2 linked regions of the Arabidopsis thaliana genome follow. The protein of the gene in region 1 interacts with the protein of each later gene in a biochemical or structural test. Each region holds a gene or a part of one and is shown in the gene's direction. Other genes may lie near its edges.

Region 1 (8,258 bases):
CCACTGGCTGAGAAGTAGCAACAGAGGATAACGACGGTAAAACAGTTTCTTCAGCCATGGCTTTAGCAACTTCTTTAGCAAGAGTCTGTCTATACATATCAGCAGCTCTTGAAGTATACTTAGCCTCAATCTTACCACCATCATTCCATCCATGTTGCTTAAAAAACACCTGAGCTCGATTGTTCCCTCCAAACATCATTGTTCTTAGCTGCTCAGGACTCCACGAGTCTAAGTTCGTTGACCTGCACAAAAACAATATGATCTTATAATAGATCTACAACAACATGAAATGCTATAAATAGAGTGGTCAACAGGAAAAAATAAGTCAACATCTTCCTAATCACAGCTTAAACCCTAGCCAGAAGGTGAAACATTGCTACAAGTCCATGAAGCTAAAAATTAAGCCTAAAGAGTTCAAATTTGTGTTCCTCAAGATTCAAAGTTTTACCTGACGAAGCTGATATGAACACCTAGACTTCGATGAACAGCAGAACAATCGATGCATAGGAAGATCCCATAAGGAACAGAAGCCCATGTTGGATTCTTCGCACTACAATCAAAGCAAACCTAAAAACCGAAGCAAAATCATAAATCAATTCGGAAGATTTAGGTCGTATAAGCTCCAGATCTGAACGAAATTCAAAATCGAAAATTGAGTAACCCTAACCTTGTTCTCGGATTTTGATTTCAGCTTTCTGAAAACAACATTCTTATCGGTGAGATTCTCAGTCGCCATCGTTGAAGAGTTTAGAGATGTTTCCCCAGAATCTGGAAATCTGAAAGTGGCGATTATGGATCGACTCTTCTTCTTCAAAGCAGAAATTTTTGTTTTTGTTTTTCTGTTATCTTATTTGTTTACGTTTTTTGATTAGAGGATCAATACTAAACTCGATGGGCTTGTATGGCCCAATAATGAATAAGCCCATATTTGTATTTCGTAATTTCGTAGATGTCATTATTTTTATATGAAAGTCACACAATTCTAAATCAAATGTAAACTCTAACCATAGTCTAAATCCTGTAAAAAACTTCTAATTCTTTAATCACAAAACTTAACCATAAAACAGAAAATGAAAAAGGATAAAACCTCATCGCTAAATTTTATCATGATTTTCTCCATCTTGTTATTAGCGCAAAGAGGATCGCTTGAAAGATGAAGACAGAATTGTGAAAAATTGAAAACCAAAATAATTGTTAAATCCAAAAAATCGACTTGTTATGGAAGTACATTAAGGTATTAAATTAGGTTATCTTCACTAATTCCTCTCGAACCTTTTACTTTCTTTCTTTTTTGATAAAGTAAAACTTTTTACTTGATACAATGTTTCTGTGACATGTAACATGTTTATCAATGTCTTGTAAGAAAACTGGCAAGAAGTAGAGATATTTTATTATGTAATGTCAATAATCATATGTTAGTGTACGATTAGTGGGTCTAAAGTCGTTTTGTAATTACATCATCCACGAGAATCACGTGAGCTGGATCATTTTAGCCATCGTGATTAACCATTGAATATTATTGTACATGTTGTCCTTTTCACTGACTACTTTTCTTCTTCTTTCTTTTTTTTTCTGGATATTTTGTTTATAAGTAATGGTTGGCATTATCATGTGTAGTTCTTTGTCAATAATCATGTGTAACTTTGACAAAAAAATCATATGTAACGTTTTAAAAAATTATATACTTTGGTTGGTCATTATAGTTTTAGCCAAACGATAAAAAATTTGATGAAAAAAATGTGGTTAAAGAAAACTTACAGTATACCGTGACAAAAATATGAAGATTGTTAATAAATAGATATGTCAATTATGGTGACAGAAACATGGAAAGCAGACAGACGATGCCTAGACAGAGGACCCAAACAATTAAAGTGGGCTACACAACATAATTCCAATATTTAAAAAAAGAAAAAAACAATTTAAAATGTCTAAGAAAAAATAAATTCGAATATGAATTTTATAGAGAAAATACAAATTTTATACGTTAATTTCTTCCTCTTTCAAAAATTGAACGGAAGTTGCTATGTTGTTGGATACATTATTATTTGAATATATATTACAAATAATTTTTAGGACTAGCAAATCATTTTTTGAGTTTTCTTTTTATGGTTTTCGTAGTCAACTCCACAACCGATAGTTTTACATCGATGCTTGTACAATTTTACAGTTTGACAGATGGTACTGTACTACGACATACGGTTCTATGCACCACACTAAAATCTCTAGATAGAAATCGTTTCCATTAATCTTCAATAATTTGTAATCTATGAAAATCAAACTTCATATATGGTGTGATGAAGTATTAATGGATATTTAGTTAACCATTACACCAAAAAAAAATTTACACCGGATAATTATTTGAAAACGTAAATTTCATATTAACGGTTCAAACTGATTTTTAATAAAATGAACATAATGAAATGATATTTAAAAAAAAAAGATGATTGGAGAAAGAAAACACTTTTAGTTTTTTCATATATATTTATTTTCCTATAACTAACATAAAATCAGTTGAAATATTATTTTAAATTCCTAACTTAATTGATATAAATTGAGTAGAATCTATTTTTTTCCTTTTAAAAATGCAATTCTTTTTTGCAGTTTAAAATATTAATTTATATGAAAAATAAAATTTATATTTTAGATTTCTAACTTATGAAATTTTGAATTATAGCATTGGTCCATATTCGAAACTCTAAGTCACTATATCACCATAAATGGATTATTTATTAGTTTTTTCTCCATAAAACAATAAGTGGCTATGTGATAATAAACGGATCTAAGTTATGTTTCAGACAAAACAGTGTCCAAACGAGAATTATCACTCCATGAATAATTTATTTACGTTTTCGTAACAGTTAACCAAATTATTATCGTTTGGTTTTTGTCATATAATATGTCGCAACTCTCAACAAAAACTTAAGAAAATAAGAAAAAATTATTTACAATTGTTTTAGAAAAACAATAAAAATAAAATATAGTATTGTAGAGAGAATCATCTTCTCCAAACAATCACTAAACGCCATTTGCTTAGCTTTTTCCCTCTTTTGATTTTTCCTCCCTACACGTCACCTCTCTCTTCTTCTCACCGGAAAAAAGTCTTCACCTTTCACCGGAAAATATCACCTTTTCAACCGGCGTATGTTCACATGAACGGCACAACATCATCAATCAACTTCTTGACCTCCGACGATGACGCGTCGGCGGCGGCTATGGAAGCTTTCATTGGAACAAACCACCACTCATCTCTCTTTCCTCCACCACCACAACAACCACCTCAGCCTCAGTTCAACGAAGATACTCTTCAACAACGTCTCCAAGCTTTAATAGAATCCGCCGGAGAAAACTGGACTTACGCTATCTTCTGGCAGATCTCACACGACTTCGATTCATCCACCGGAGATAACACAGTGATCCTCGGCTGGGGAGATGGTTACTACAAAGGAGAGGAAGATAAAGAGAAGAAGAAGAACAACACCAACACGGCGGAGCAAGAGCATCGGAAAAGAGTAATACGTGAGCTTAACTCGTTAATCTCCGGCGGAATTGGGGTTTCCGATGAATCAAACGATGAAGAAGTAACAGATACTGAATGGTTCTTCTTAGTTTCGATGACTCAAAGCTTCGTTAACGGTGTTGGTCTCCCCGGAGAATCTTTCTTAAACTCTCGTGTGATTTGGTTATCCGGGTCTGGTGCTTTAACCGGGTCGGGTTGTGAAAGAGCGGGTCAAGGTCAGATTTACGGGTTAAAGACGATGGTGTGTATCGCGACTCAAAACGGCGTCGTTGAGCTTGGTTCGTCGGAGGTTATAAGTCAAAGCTCAGATCTGATGCATAAAGTTAACAACTTGTTTAATTTCAACAACGGTGGTGGAAACAATGGTGTTGAAGCTTCTTCGTGGGGTTTTAATCTGAATCCAGATCAAGGAGAGAATGATCCAGCTTTGTGGATTAGTGAACCGACGAACACCGGAATCGAATCTCCGGCGAGGGTTAATAATGGTAATAACTCGAATTCTAATTCTAAGTCTGATTCTCATCAAATTTCTAAGCTTGAGAAGAATGATATTAGCTCTGTAGAGAATCAGAATCGTCAAAGTTCGTGTCTTGTCGAGAAAGATTTGACCTTTCAAGGTGGGTTGTTGAAATCTAATGAGACTTTGAGTTTCTGTGGTAATGAGAGTAGTAAGAAGAGAACTTCGGTATCTAAAGGGAGTAATAATGATGAAGGGATGCTTTCGTTTAGTACTGTGGTTAGATCAGCTGCGAATGATTCGGATCATTCTGATCTTGAAGCATCTGTTGTTAAGGAAGCGATTGTTGTTGAGCCACCGGAGAAGAAGCCGAGGAAACGGGGGAGGAAACCGGCGAATGGGAGAGAAGAGCCGTTGAATCATGTTGAAGCAGAGAGGCAGAGAAGAGAGAAGTTAAACCAGAGATTCTACTCTTTGAGAGCTGTTGTTCCTAACGTTTCGAAGATGGATAAAGCTTCGCTTCTCGGAGACGCGATTTCGTATATCAATGAGCTTAAGTCGAAGCTGCAGCAAGCGGAGTCTGATAAAGAGGAGATTCAGAAGAAGCTAGATGGGATGAGTAAGGAAGGGAATAATGGGAAAGGTTGCGGGTCAAGGGCAAAAGAACGGAAAAGTTCGAATCAAGATTCTACGGCGAGTTCTATAGAAATGGAGATTGATGTTAAGATCATAGGTTGGGATGTGATGATACGTGTACAATGCGGCAAGAAAGATCATCCCGGTGCTAGGTTCATGGAAGCACTTAAGGAATTGGATTTGGAAGTGAATCATGCGAGTTTATCCGTTGTGAATGATTTGATGATTCAACAAGCTACGGTGAAGATGGGGAGCCAATTTTTCAATCATGACCAGCTCAAAGTTGCTTTGATGACGAAAGTCGGAGAAAACTATTGAACAAAGTTGGCATATCAAAGAGGGGAAACTAGTGTTTTCATCGATGAAATGGGATCGAATTTAGCGGGTAATGTATGGTCTTTTGTAAAGTAGTAAGTACTCATTTTGCATCACTCGCTTCATGTTGTTAAATGTTGTTGTTCATTAGGAGAACTTGCTTAGTTCTTAGCTTAGTGTTATCATAAGCCTTAAGTGAGAAGGAAGTTGGAGACTAGAAGACCAGAGAGAGTTAGCGAAATAATAAAATCTTTGGTTGTACTTGTATGTATATATATGTATGGAGTAAGATTAAGTGAGATCCTAAATTCTATTGAAGTTTTTTTATTCTATGATTGAATTTTTTTGTTAGTTTGTAACTTTGTAGTGTACATAAAGGTCCAAATTTATGAACTGTAGTGTACCAAAAAGCTGAGGAAAATAAGTGGTTGTAAATGGGTTTTGCCTAGAGATAGTGCTCTTATCTTTGTAAGGGGGTATGAGGAAACTGTTTATAATGCCAAAAATGTGGAGACATGTGTGATTTGTTTGTAAAAGAAACTAAAAGTTAAACCAAAGATTTGTTAGTTTTAAGTAATGAGTAGGAAGTCTTTTAGTGCCTATCTTATCTTATCTTATGTGTGAGTTTGAGTATATCTCTATGTTTAGAGAGCCGTGTGATCTACCTATGTTTCTTAATTCTTATAGTCTTGTGTACATTAGTAACGACTAGTCTTTAAGTAGTTTAGTAACATATATACCGCAAAAATCAAGATTTTCCGAATATTCTTTTTGGAACTGAGTTTGTAGTATCACAATTTGAATTTAAATCCGAAAATTTGCTAGTAGGTTTAGTCTCAAATTTTTGTTTAAACCAAAATGTGAAGGCATTTGATTTTCTGCAAACATGAAGAACATTTACTGCATAATCAACAATGAAAGTTGCCAATAAGCTACTTTTCTCCACCATTGATGAGTTCTAATTAAAAACCACCAACTTAAGTTTTCATAATAAATTGAAAAATACTTTTCATGTAGTACCATAAAGTTGACCCCTCCTCTTTAAAGGATGTTAGAAAATTATAGCCATCTTTCATCTATCTTAGGTATATGTATATTAAATAGTTGTTCACTCATTCGTTCACACTATAATTTTGTAATGAAAATATATATGACAACAACTATTGTTAATTCTTACAAAATTTGTCTTTGATTATAACCAACGACCAAAGACAGAAAACTCTCTCATTTCTATGAAGGTTATAGTTGTTAATTAACGTGTGAGGCGATATCCCTACTTACACATGCAACGTGTGTGTTACCCAAAATCGAATTTACAAATATACACTTTTCACTAAAATTAGATTAGTTCTCGTTAGTCTTTTACTAAAATAAAACAAGAAACATATTACTAACTAAATAAAACCATATAGTCTCTCTTTCTTCTTCCTTGTCTCTCTCTCGCTCATTATTGATCTCCATTGTCGTAAGGAGATCGCAAAAAAGCCATGAGCCTAAATTGTCTATCATGTCAAGCCCTTCCACGAACAGATTCCAACAAAGATGTTGATCTCTCCGGTCCTGGACCACCAAGGGTCGAGATTAACAATGTTCTAGGTAAAACATGTTGTGTAAATCCTATTGGTGGGAGAAATTGGTCAGGGAATTTGAGTCCTAGGATCTATGAGAAGATTGGACGGCCAGGATCGTCTTTAGCGCATAAGATGAAGAAGGTGAAAAAGATTCATCACGTTAGGCTAAGTGGTCCTGTTGGTTCTAGCCCTAGCAATGTACCAACCCGGCCGGAACAACCAAAGCTCGTAAGGAGCACTGGAGTCCGAAGGAATTGGAGTTTTGAGAATTTGAGAGATCAAGGATTAATAGAAGAAAAAAGGAAGATTAACATATGAATATATGATCAATGATTGATCATGATTCTGAGATTTTATATAAATGTGAGAGGATAAAGCTGATTACATATAGTTTCAAATCCAGATTCGTGATTATATAATCGTGATAGAATATGTGAGATGTATAATAGTATTATTTGGACGACAAAACGTTTCCATTGATTTATTACTTGTCACGTTTTGTTCTCTTTGAATATTTGTTTTTATGTTTCTTTTTTGTCTTTGAATGAAAACGTAATTTCATTAAAGTGTTTTGTTTCTTTTCTAAAATCGTTTTCATATCTGTTTTCGAGTTTCTTGCGTAACACGAGAGATCATCCTTATTGGTGGTATACTATTCCATCTAAATAGCCAAATTGCATAAGCAGTAAAGCTTTTGCTATCTTTCAGAAAATTATTAGTAACCAACAAAGCAACAAAAAATCAATCATAAGAGAAACAAGAAAACTTATCTCTAATTCTCTAAGAGTATTATGACTCGACTTAAAAGTTAAGTAAATCATCATTACAATTGGGCCTACTTTCGCACTGCGTAATTTCGAAATAATTAATACACAATTGACATGGCAGATTTTGTTTCGAATCGTCATGACATATACTTTTGTGGTATAGCTTCGTTTCTTTAATCGTTATCCATATCGGCATATCGCTATATAGTACAAACTATACCATTGCAATACAAGATATACGGTTTTAACAATCACACCAATCATAAAGTAATATCAACGTTACTAAAACAATATTCTCAGCTATTTCACATCGCTAGTTTAACGATAAGAGATGTAACAGTTCTACAATTTTTCGACGATCTATTAGATTATCAACACTTGTATAATCAACTTTAGTCTGATCAATCGTAGTAAAACCATGGTATAAAAAATACGACTCCTAAATAATCAACTTTAGTCTTTAGTCATATTATAAACACTAATCCTCAACTTGTTTACGTATGTATCCTAAATTCCTAATTTTAATCCACTTGTTGGTTGTATCTAGTAAAAAATCGAATAGTTATCAGAAACTAGTTTTAAATTAAGATTTAACAACTTAATGGAGAGAAAAAGAGAGACAAAAAGTCAAAGTTTCTTTTTTAAAGCCTCTTGTTTTGTTCTTCTTCTCTTGTTTCTTCTTTTCCAATCTTCATTTTTCCAGTCAAATTCAGAAAACGCGTAAGTTCTCTTTCTCGTTAAAAGGGTTTGTTATAAAACCCTTGATTTTACTTGTTTTAGAGAGGTTCTTGGTTTAAATCTTCTTGTGGTTTAAGTCTTTGTGGTTTCTCTAATATTTTCTTCCCAAGATTTGGATTTGCTCTGTTTTGTTTGTTTGTTTCAGTTTTAATAATGGATGATCAGAGTAATCGTGGTAATGATAATCATAATAATGATCATCATCATCATCATCTTGGTGTGAATAAGATGGGAAAAAACATTCGTAAAGATCCACC
Region 2 (8,918 bases), on another chromosome or scaffold:
TGAAAATATTGTTTAAGTGCTGATGATCTACAACTACAAGATGTGATCTAGCTTATGTGAATCCGAAAAGTTTCCACTAACACAGTGCATGCATCCAACTTTATGCGGTCCATGGCAAAACAACAAATCCTCATTGGCTCATTGCGATACAAACTTATTATGACTATTAGATTTGGGCCATTCCTTATTACATTTTGGGCCCATATTAGTCGGACTTTTATATTAGTAATGGACATGTCAAGGGAGAAGAGTCAGGCAAAACGATCATACAAGTCACAAGAGATAAAGATGGTTCAAGATGAGTTCGATCTACTTCTCTTTATTTTCAGATCAACAGTTTTGTAACTATTTTTTATTTATTTTTCAGTAATTTTGCTAGCTAAATATTAAATGATGTGTTCACGTTACGTCTATATCTCAATTAATAACATTACTTTCTGCTTTTCAATTATCGAATAGATTGAATCCAAATTTTTTTATGACGAAATAAATTACTATAATGGTATGCATCATGAGTGTACTATTGTATTCTTGCATGTGATTTTTGATCAACATGGTGTTTTTGTCATTACTATCAAAAGACTTCCATCGCTGCGATATTGGATTGTCAGAACTCGGAAAAAAACAAATTATGTCGTAGCTCAATTCCACGAAAAAGTCTAAAACAATAATTAGCAGCTCTATATAGATAATCGAAGGCAAAGGTAATTGTTTATAATTTTGCAAAAGCACGACATATAGGATAACGTGCACTCTTCAAAAGCTATTTAGCAATGCAATCACGGTGGAATTTGTGCATGTAATCTCTTAGCCTAACATAACCAAAACCTATGGTGACATCTTCTAGACAGATTGGGGAAACTTCTTCTTCGTCTTTCCCTAAACTCCCCTTGTTCTTCTCCACCATGCACAGCCCTCTCTAACTTCCATGAAATTCCAAGACGTGGAGATACATTTTGGCCCCTGAATCTTCTCAGCTTTATACGTACACCTCCATCGTAAATTATTGCGGAGGCGTAAACGGTGAAGGCGCCGTAAACAAGGGTCGAAATTAGGCAAACAAGTCGGCATACGATGTCAAGAGCCCACGAAAGACTAATTGCTTCTGGATGTCCATAATTACTAGCAAATAAGTCTATATCAAAATAAAAACTAAAATGTAAGTATTAACAGGTGAGAAATGACCAGATCATTAAGTAGGGAGGCTCTTCTCTGGATCTGGCTCGACGTCGACGAGAAGCAGGATGAGCCATCAAAGGATCCACTAAAGCACCAAACTCAAAAAAAAGAGAGCCAAATATTGCAACTACTCAAGTCAGTCTAAATATAGTTAAATGCTGCGCTATATATCATGCATATACATATGTCATTTGATTTTCTCTTTGCCATTATTTACTCTCATTCGATTTTAATACAAAATTATTTAAGTTGTTGTTGTAAACAGACGTTGCTGTTGCTGTTGAGTTTGATTTAGAATAGTTAAGTTTGGTTTTGGTTGGAGAAAAGTTTTCGTTGTTAAGCCAACTCGTGATCATTTAATCTGTTCTTTTTTTGGTAGGGGGTGATCATTGAATCTTTTGTTTTGAGTTTTGTATGTCTATATAGAGTCTAATACCATTAAAACAAAAAAAATGTCGTGGTAACCAGAATTAAATGATGTAAAAACAGAAAACAAGAATTAAATGTCGGATGTAAAAACAGAATTAAATTTCGGATGTTTTATGTGGATCATAGCGTGAGAGATGCGTTTATGGCATCTTTTGATATAATCTTCGCTTTGTAGGTCCACTTTTGATCTGATCTGATCTATTATCTATATGGAATGTTGTGTATATAATAAACTGCAGTGTAGTATTTTCTTAATAATGTGATATTAATATCTAAATTCTAGGCTGGAGAAAATGACGTGTGCTGCATATCCCCCAGACTCGAAATAACGATGTTATCGTGGGAGATGATCGTCAATTTTTTTTTTGTTTAGAGATCGTCAAGTTGTTGTGATCATTGACTCCTTTCCATTTTTTCTATAGATTTGAATTTTAAATATTCATTTTCATAAAAAAATGAAAACTTTATTATTATATTTGTGAGATAATTAGATATGTTTTAAAACATTAGTAAATTTAGTATAGTATTAGTTTTTACTAAATTAAGAAGAAAGTGACGCACGAAATGGCGTAATTTCCTCCCCCGGACCACATGCATCTTATAAATACACAAAAACGATGTCAACGAGTGATTTTAGTAATATGTACATTAAAGTAATATTTTCTTTTTGGTACCAATAATTACCTTAATTAATACAAGTATAGTTTAAGCAACAAGCAACATTCTTTAATAATTCGCGAAAAATATTAATAAAAGTACAATGACAGAAAAAATAATTAAAAATTGGATTAAAAAAAATAATATTAGAGTGATGACATAATCACATGAGGATTTAGATTTAGCTTAATAATGTTTAGTTGTGGAACTAAATTTCCGCAACAATTATTTTGTTGTATTTAAATCATTTTATGAAAGTCTAATCTTTACAATTACTTTATAGTACCATCCGATTAATCAAAGATTAAAAATATAGTACTAAAATACAAATTAATATATTTTGCCAAAAAAATGCAACGTGCAAATGTTTATCTTGGTCAAGAGAACGTGCACGAAAGTAGTGTAACTAATTTTACTATTTTAGATTGAGCGGTGAGACAAAAAGGGGGTTAGACTCACGCGCTACACTTAGCGCGTCAGCCGACAAAAAAAAGTGTTGTCATTGAATAAAAAAATAAATTAAAACTGCCGCTTCGCATCTCGTGAATCATTCACGTTAAAATAGCGCACGTGCCTCGCCACGCGTCTCACCACAAAAAGAAACGCCACACACTGCACGACGATGCACGTGCCTTTTTAACCGACTATATCCGGTGACGTAACCGGGACAACCTGTAGCTGGTTTTTGCGCCAATAGGATATGAGAAAAAAGAATCTTTTTTTTCTTGTTATAGTTATAAATTAATGGTACGATTCACATGTCGCATGCGATTTGTTAATAAAACTAGAAATTGCGGTGAATTAACTTCATTCCACGTTTTTTCATTTTCTCCCTCAAAAGTCTCTGTTTTTTTTCCTTTTTCCGGCGAAGCTCTATTTAGCTTGATTCCGGCGTTTAACACGCGTTTTAATCGAAACAGACATTTGAGATCGAATTAATTTTGTAGCGGGCTGTGTCTTTATTATAGATGGAGAGAGATTTTCTCGGGTTGGGTTCGAAAAATTCTCCGATCACTGTCAAGGAGGAAACCAGCGAAAGCTCTAGAGATTCAGGTTATTTATTACTCTTCTCAATTTTTCTGATTCTGATTGTTTTTAAATCGTAGATTTGTTTGATTGATTAGGAGTTATTAGGACTACTTGTAGTATGGAATTTGTTTTTGGATAGCTGATTTTATGGCTTGCTCGGGAACTGGAATTGTCAGTTTGTTGCTTGGAGCAGAACATTGTCCTTTGCTTTTCTCGGGAGATGTAGAATTTGGATTTGGAAAAACTAGTGTTCTTTTCCAAAGCCTTGTCTTAAACATGCTTTCGGTCGGAGAAATTAACGAGAACTAATCTCAAGCTTCTAACATAATTAAACTCGGTAAACTTTTTTTTACTAGAGTAAATTTTTTTGTTTTGTTTGAAGAGTCTTATAATTGAGAAATACTTTATTAGTTTATACTAAAAAAAAAACGAATACGTAAAATGTTGGAAAAGAGGGGATGTATAGAGACTGATACAAAAATGATAAAATAGAGACGGTTGGTAGTAGGTAGAAAGATTAAATATACTCAAAAGAGTGAGTTGGATTAGTTTATAAGATGATTAACTTCTTGATTGTGTGAGTTGGATTAGTTTATGAGATTATTAAAATATTGATTGTGTATTTGTGTTGTGTGTTGATTAAGCGGAACTTGCGTTAGAATATTGTTCAAGGTACAATGTGGAAATAATAGTTTTCTCACCACGAGGAATATAATTATTTCAACTTTGTTTTCTTATCAGCCAAAACGTGCCACACCATAAAAGTAGTGCATCAACATGTGGTGTGGTGTGGTGGGGTTAAAGTTTGAATCTCTCTTTAATTTAAACTATTAAAACAAACTTAAATTATTGGAGTTTCGTACAATGACTTTCAATCAAATGTTTTAGAATTAGACACGGTTTTCGAAAGTGGTTTTCCCTCGTTGAATTTGTCAACAGTATCAGATTCTACATTGTTGGTTACTAATCTTTTCCTTGAAGTAGGTGTTGAATTAATCCTCTGTTGTTTATGTAAGGAGATCTCGAGACATTTATGGTTAACAGTTAACACTACATGTTTGACTTTAAACTGATTATCTTTTATTCTTTTTCTTTTGTAGCTCCCAACAGAGGAATGAACTGGTCTTTCTCAAACAAAGTATCAGCTTCTTCTTCTCAGTTTCTATCCTTCAGGCCAACTCAAGAAGATAGACATAGAAAGTCTGGAAATTATCATCTTCCTCACTCTGGTTCCTTCATGCCATCATCAGTAGCTGATGTTTATGATTCAACCCGCAAAGCTCCTTACAGTTCTGTACAGGTATTTGTCATCAAAACCTATGTTAACCAAGACCCTTGTGTTTTTTTTATCCTTCGCAAGATAGCTTTAAAAGTGAGCCCTGTTTTATGAGCATATAGTAATTGGTTTTGAGTCTAGTTTAGCACAAGTTCATGGCAATTAGTTTGTGGATCTAATCTTGGTTTAATACTGATTCATTTTAAGTGTAAGCTAAGCTTCTCATTTTTGATAAGTTAGTTCATACAATGCCTCACACCTACTTTATGGCTTGTTACTCTCAGGGAGTGAGGATGTTCCCTAATTCCAATCAACACGAAGAAACTAACGCAGTTTCCATGTCGATGCCGGGTTTCCAGTCTCATCATTATGCACCAGGAGGAAGAAGCTTCATGAACAATAACAATAACTCACAACCTTTGGTAGGAGTTCCTATCATGGCACCTCCAATTTCAATCCTTCCTCCTCCAGGTTCCATTGTAGGGACTACTGATATTAGGTACCCACTAGTCATCATATCATACAGAAACTCTTTCTACATTTTCATAGTTGACTAAAGACTTATTTTTGTCAGATCTTCTTCCAAGCCAATAGGTTCACCTGCGCAGTTGACGATCTTTTATGCCGGTTCAGTTTGTGTTTACGATGACATATCTCCTGAAAAGGTATCTCAATCATTTTCTTCCATATATGCATCTCTTTTACTCGTAAGGTATGGTACTCATTTGCTTTCTTTCATTTCTCAGGCAAAGGCGATAATGTTGCTAGCTGGGAACGGTTCCTCTATGCCTCAAGTCTTTTCGCCGCCTCAAACTCATCAACAAGTGGTCCATCATACTCGTGCCTCTGTCGATTCTTCAGCTATGCCTCCTAGCTTCATGCCTACAATATCTTATCTTAGCCCTGAAGCTGGAAGTAGCACAAACGGACTCGGAGCCACAAAAGCGACAAGAGGCTTGACGTCAACATATCACAACAACCAAGCTAATGGATCCAATATTAACTGCCCAGTACCAGTTTCTTGTTCTACCAATGTAATGGCTCCAACAGGTAAAAAACAAAGTCAGAGACCTGATACTACATTCGCCATCTAACTTACTAGTATTTTCATGGATGTAACTTCATTCTCGTTCTGTTTCTTATGCAGTGGCATTACCTCTGGCTCGCAAAGCATCCCTGGCTAGGTTTTTAGAGAAACGCAAAGAAAGGTACGCAACACTTCTTTAGAATACACCATTCAATAGTTTCTTGGGCTAACTCTCTTTCTCGCTGTGGGTTTCTCAGGGTCACGAGCGTATCCCCATATTGCTTAGACAAGAAGTCATCGACAGATTGTCGCAGATCAATGTCTGAATGCATTAGTTCTTCTCTCAGCTCTGCAACCTAATTTCATCTACAGTAAGAAGGTTGCTTTAGACCACTCCACATCCATATTTGCATTTCAATGGCGGTCTTTTCAATGTCTCAGTTAATTTTTCCTCACTCGCCACACTGAGTTTCTCCTTAGCTTTATATATACGATAGTGTATACTTTGTTTACATGTTTTTTGGTGGAATGGAACTTATGAGAGCATATCAGATATGTACTTGGGAAAATTAGTAGAAACTGTTTGTTTCTTTTTTTTTAACTCTGTTCTTTTGTATATATCACTGAAGCTCGCATATGTATAATTCATGTAATGGAATTGCATCGCTTCTGTTTCCCTAAGTTATTTCTCTAATCAATTTTCTATTCAAATATGGGGATTTTTTTAATAGGATTTGCTAATTTGTACTCTGGTTAACAATAAGCTTGATACATTACCAGTTACCAACTCGAATTCACAAAAGAAGTCATCATTATATATGGAGAAAATGGAACATCTTTTAGAATTTGCTTTAATTCGTTTTGGCTAATTATTTTTCGGTCTTCGTTTTGGCTGTGAGTTTCTTTGTAACATCCTAATTTCAATATGTGGGCCATTTTGTGTTGTAGCCCATCAAGGCCCAATGTCTTATTGCACAACGAAAAGGGATGTTGCAAAAGATGATAAACCGGATATGAATTCAGTCGCGGTTAAGTTAACGCGAAGACAAAACCGGTTGGACATGTTCGGTTTTCGGCGATGATTATTTCAACGTTTTTCAGTCTAATCAAAACCAATACGAGCAGACACAGCTCCGTACGATCACAAGGATTCACTGATTTCTAAGCTTTTCATAGAAAGAAGAAGAAAAAGGCGGAATTCGATGGTGGATGCGATTCAAGTAGCTGAGCTGAGAAGATTCGTCGAGCAGTTGAAATTGAATCCTTCGATTCTCCACGATCCTAGTCTGGTTTTCTTCAAAGAATATCTCCGAAGGTGATTCATTCTTCTCTGACTTATCTTTCTTTCGGTGAATTTCATTTGTCAGTTGAATTTTTCCATGGAGCTGTGAGTTTCTTTGTAATCGATGCTCGTTCCCGTCTTATCGTGTACAGTTTAGGAGCTCAAGTTCCGAAGATTGAGAAAACTGTAAGTTGTCTTTCTTATGAATTATCGATGTTTAGGTTTCTCTTGTTTGTGCTACTTGGGATTGAGTTCTTAATATCTTTGTGTTGAATTGATGTACAAAACCCTTTTCTAGGCTTCAACACTATCTAAATGTTGATCGAATAGTTAACTATAAATTGCAGGAAAGAGATTATGAAGATAAGGCTGAGACAAAACCCAGTTTCTCTCCTAAACATGATGATGATGATGATGATATTATGGAGTCTGATGTTGAACTCGACAACTCTGATGTAGTTGAACCAGACAATGAGCCTCCTCAGCCGGTAGGTGTTGAAGTTATCATCTTTGGATATTATGTGGTGCTTGTGTCTCTATGCATTTTTTTACCTGATTGGATGATTTTACTTTCTTGTCTTAGATGGGAGACCCTACTGCTGAAGTGACCGATGAAAATAGGGATGATGCTCAGTCAGAGAAGAGCAAAGCTATGGAGGCAATCTCTGATGGTACATAACTACCGTTGAAATTGGTTTTGATTATCTACTTCATAAGATTTCTCCTTAATGCTTGATTGGTATACAGGGAGGTTTGACGAAGCTATAGAGCATCTAACAAAAGCTGTCATGCTAAATCCTACTTCAGCGATTCTCTACGCCACTAGAGGTAACTTTCTTTTACTAGTTCACTCTCCCTTTTCGGCTGAATGTGGGTGATAATACTCAATATTTGTGATTGTTGTCCTGCAGCTAGTGTGTTTTTAAAAGTTAAGAAGCCAAATGCTGCAATTCGTGATGCCAACGTAGCGTTACAGGTGATCATTTCTCTTGACATAAACTTGTTTTGTTTGTGCTGAAAATGGATTTGGTAAAACAAGTTTATGTCTCAATAGTTTTATGGCTTGGGAGAGTGATTTTATATCTCAATGGTTTTCTTCCATAAACAAGCTAAACTAGTTTATTTTGGGGTTTAGTTCAACTCTGATTCAGCTAAGGGGTACAAATCACGAGGTATGGCTAAGGCCATGTTAGGCCAATGGGAAGAGGCTGCAGCTGATCTACATGTCGCATCAAAATTAGATTACGATGAGGAGATAGGGACAATGCTTAAGAAGGTAATTGCGGAAACCTCTTGATATCACTGTATGGTCCTTGAGTTTTACAGTACCAAATATATATGCTGAAAATGTGTACTTCCCAGGTTGAACCCAATGCAAAGAGAATCGAAGAACACCGCAGGAAATACCAACGCCTGAGGAAAGAAAAGGAGCTCCAAAGGGCTGAACGCGAGAGACGGAAACAGCAAGAAGCCCAGGTCAGACCGACTCATACCCATAATTAAATGTTGTGTAGAGTTACATTCTTTTGATTATCTTCTTAGCAGAAATCACATAGGCCTGATTATCTTCTCCCTGTGAGAGTTAAAATATAACCTCTTCTGATATTATCAATATCATATCATATCAAACATCTCACGCTCATTGATTTGCTTCTTGCTCGTGAATCCTATCAATGCAGGAGCGAGAAGCTCAGGCTGCACTCAATGACGGTAAACATTTTATCCATTTCTTTCAACGGTTTTCTACTTCATGATATTTTTGCAAAGAACTAATTATGTGTTGGAACATTTATCTGTGAGTCTTGCCCCAATGAATTGTCTTCACTCAATAAGAAGCAAAGCTCAATATGCTCTTGTTAGCCACTAAATCCAGTTGATAAGGCCACTAACCAGCATGCTTATCCCGCATGCAGTCTCATTTGCATTCACTTACCTGAGAAATTCTGCTAATCCAGACCAGAACCGTAACCTCCCAACAAAAACTAATTTAGGGGATAGTTTAGTGGAAACTCATGGTGTATTGACGCCTCACTAGCTTT

What was found. The genes of interacting proteins can lie anywhere in the genome.
Region 2: the proteins of MYC3 (region 1) and JAZ3 form a complex in vitro, tested with the Arabidopsis thaliana proteins (2 studies listed by BioGRID).

What each region holds. Positions count from the first base shown.
Region 1 is NC_003076.8:18,971,082-18,979,339, forward strand, and holds MYC3 (Basic helix-loop-helix (bHLH) DNA-binding family protein), read left to right. Parts: upstream 1-2,940; 5' UTR 2,941-3,149; coding exon 3,150-4,928; 3' UTR 4,929-5,509; downstream 5,510-8,258. Other genes in the region: AGD9 (ARF-GAP domain 9), read right to left, coding at 1-242, 449-567, 668-736; AT5G46770 (uncharacterized protein), read left to right, coding at 6,413-6,814; AT5G46780 (VQ motif-containing protein), read left to right, coding at 8,155-8,258. UniProt on the Arabidopsis thaliana protein: Transcription factor involved in tryptophan, jasmonic acid (JA) and other stress-responsive gene regulation. With MYC2 and MYC4, controls additively subsets of JA-dependent responses.
Region 2 is NC_003074.8:6,116,735-6,125,652, forward strand, and holds JAZ3 (jasmonate-zim-domain protein 3), read left to right. Parts: upstream 1-2,972; 5' UTR 2,973-3,233; coding exon 3,234-3,318; exon of another isoform or gene 3,319-4,348; coding exon of another isoform or gene 4,349-4,394; coding exon 4,395-4,594; intron 4,595-4,854; coding exon 4,855-5,069; intron 5,070-5,144; coding exon 5,145-5,235; intron 5,236-5,316; coding exon 5,317-5,620; intron 5,621-5,717; coding exon 5,718-5,778; intron 5,779-5,854; coding exon 5,855-5,957; 3' UTR 5,958-6,310; downstream 6,311-8,918. Other genes in the region: TDX (tetraticopeptide domain-containing thioredoxin), read left to right, coding at 6,800-6,912, 7,032-7,065, 7,227-7,367, 7,463-7,550, 7,627-7,707, 7,791-7,855, 8,015-8,155, 8,242-8,355 and 1 more. UniProt on the Arabidopsis thaliana protein: Repressor of jasmonate responses. Jasmonoyl-isoleucine (JA-Ile) specifically promotes COI1-TIFY6B/JAZ3 interaction. Acts as a negative regulator of MYC2 function. Feed-back regulated by MYC2.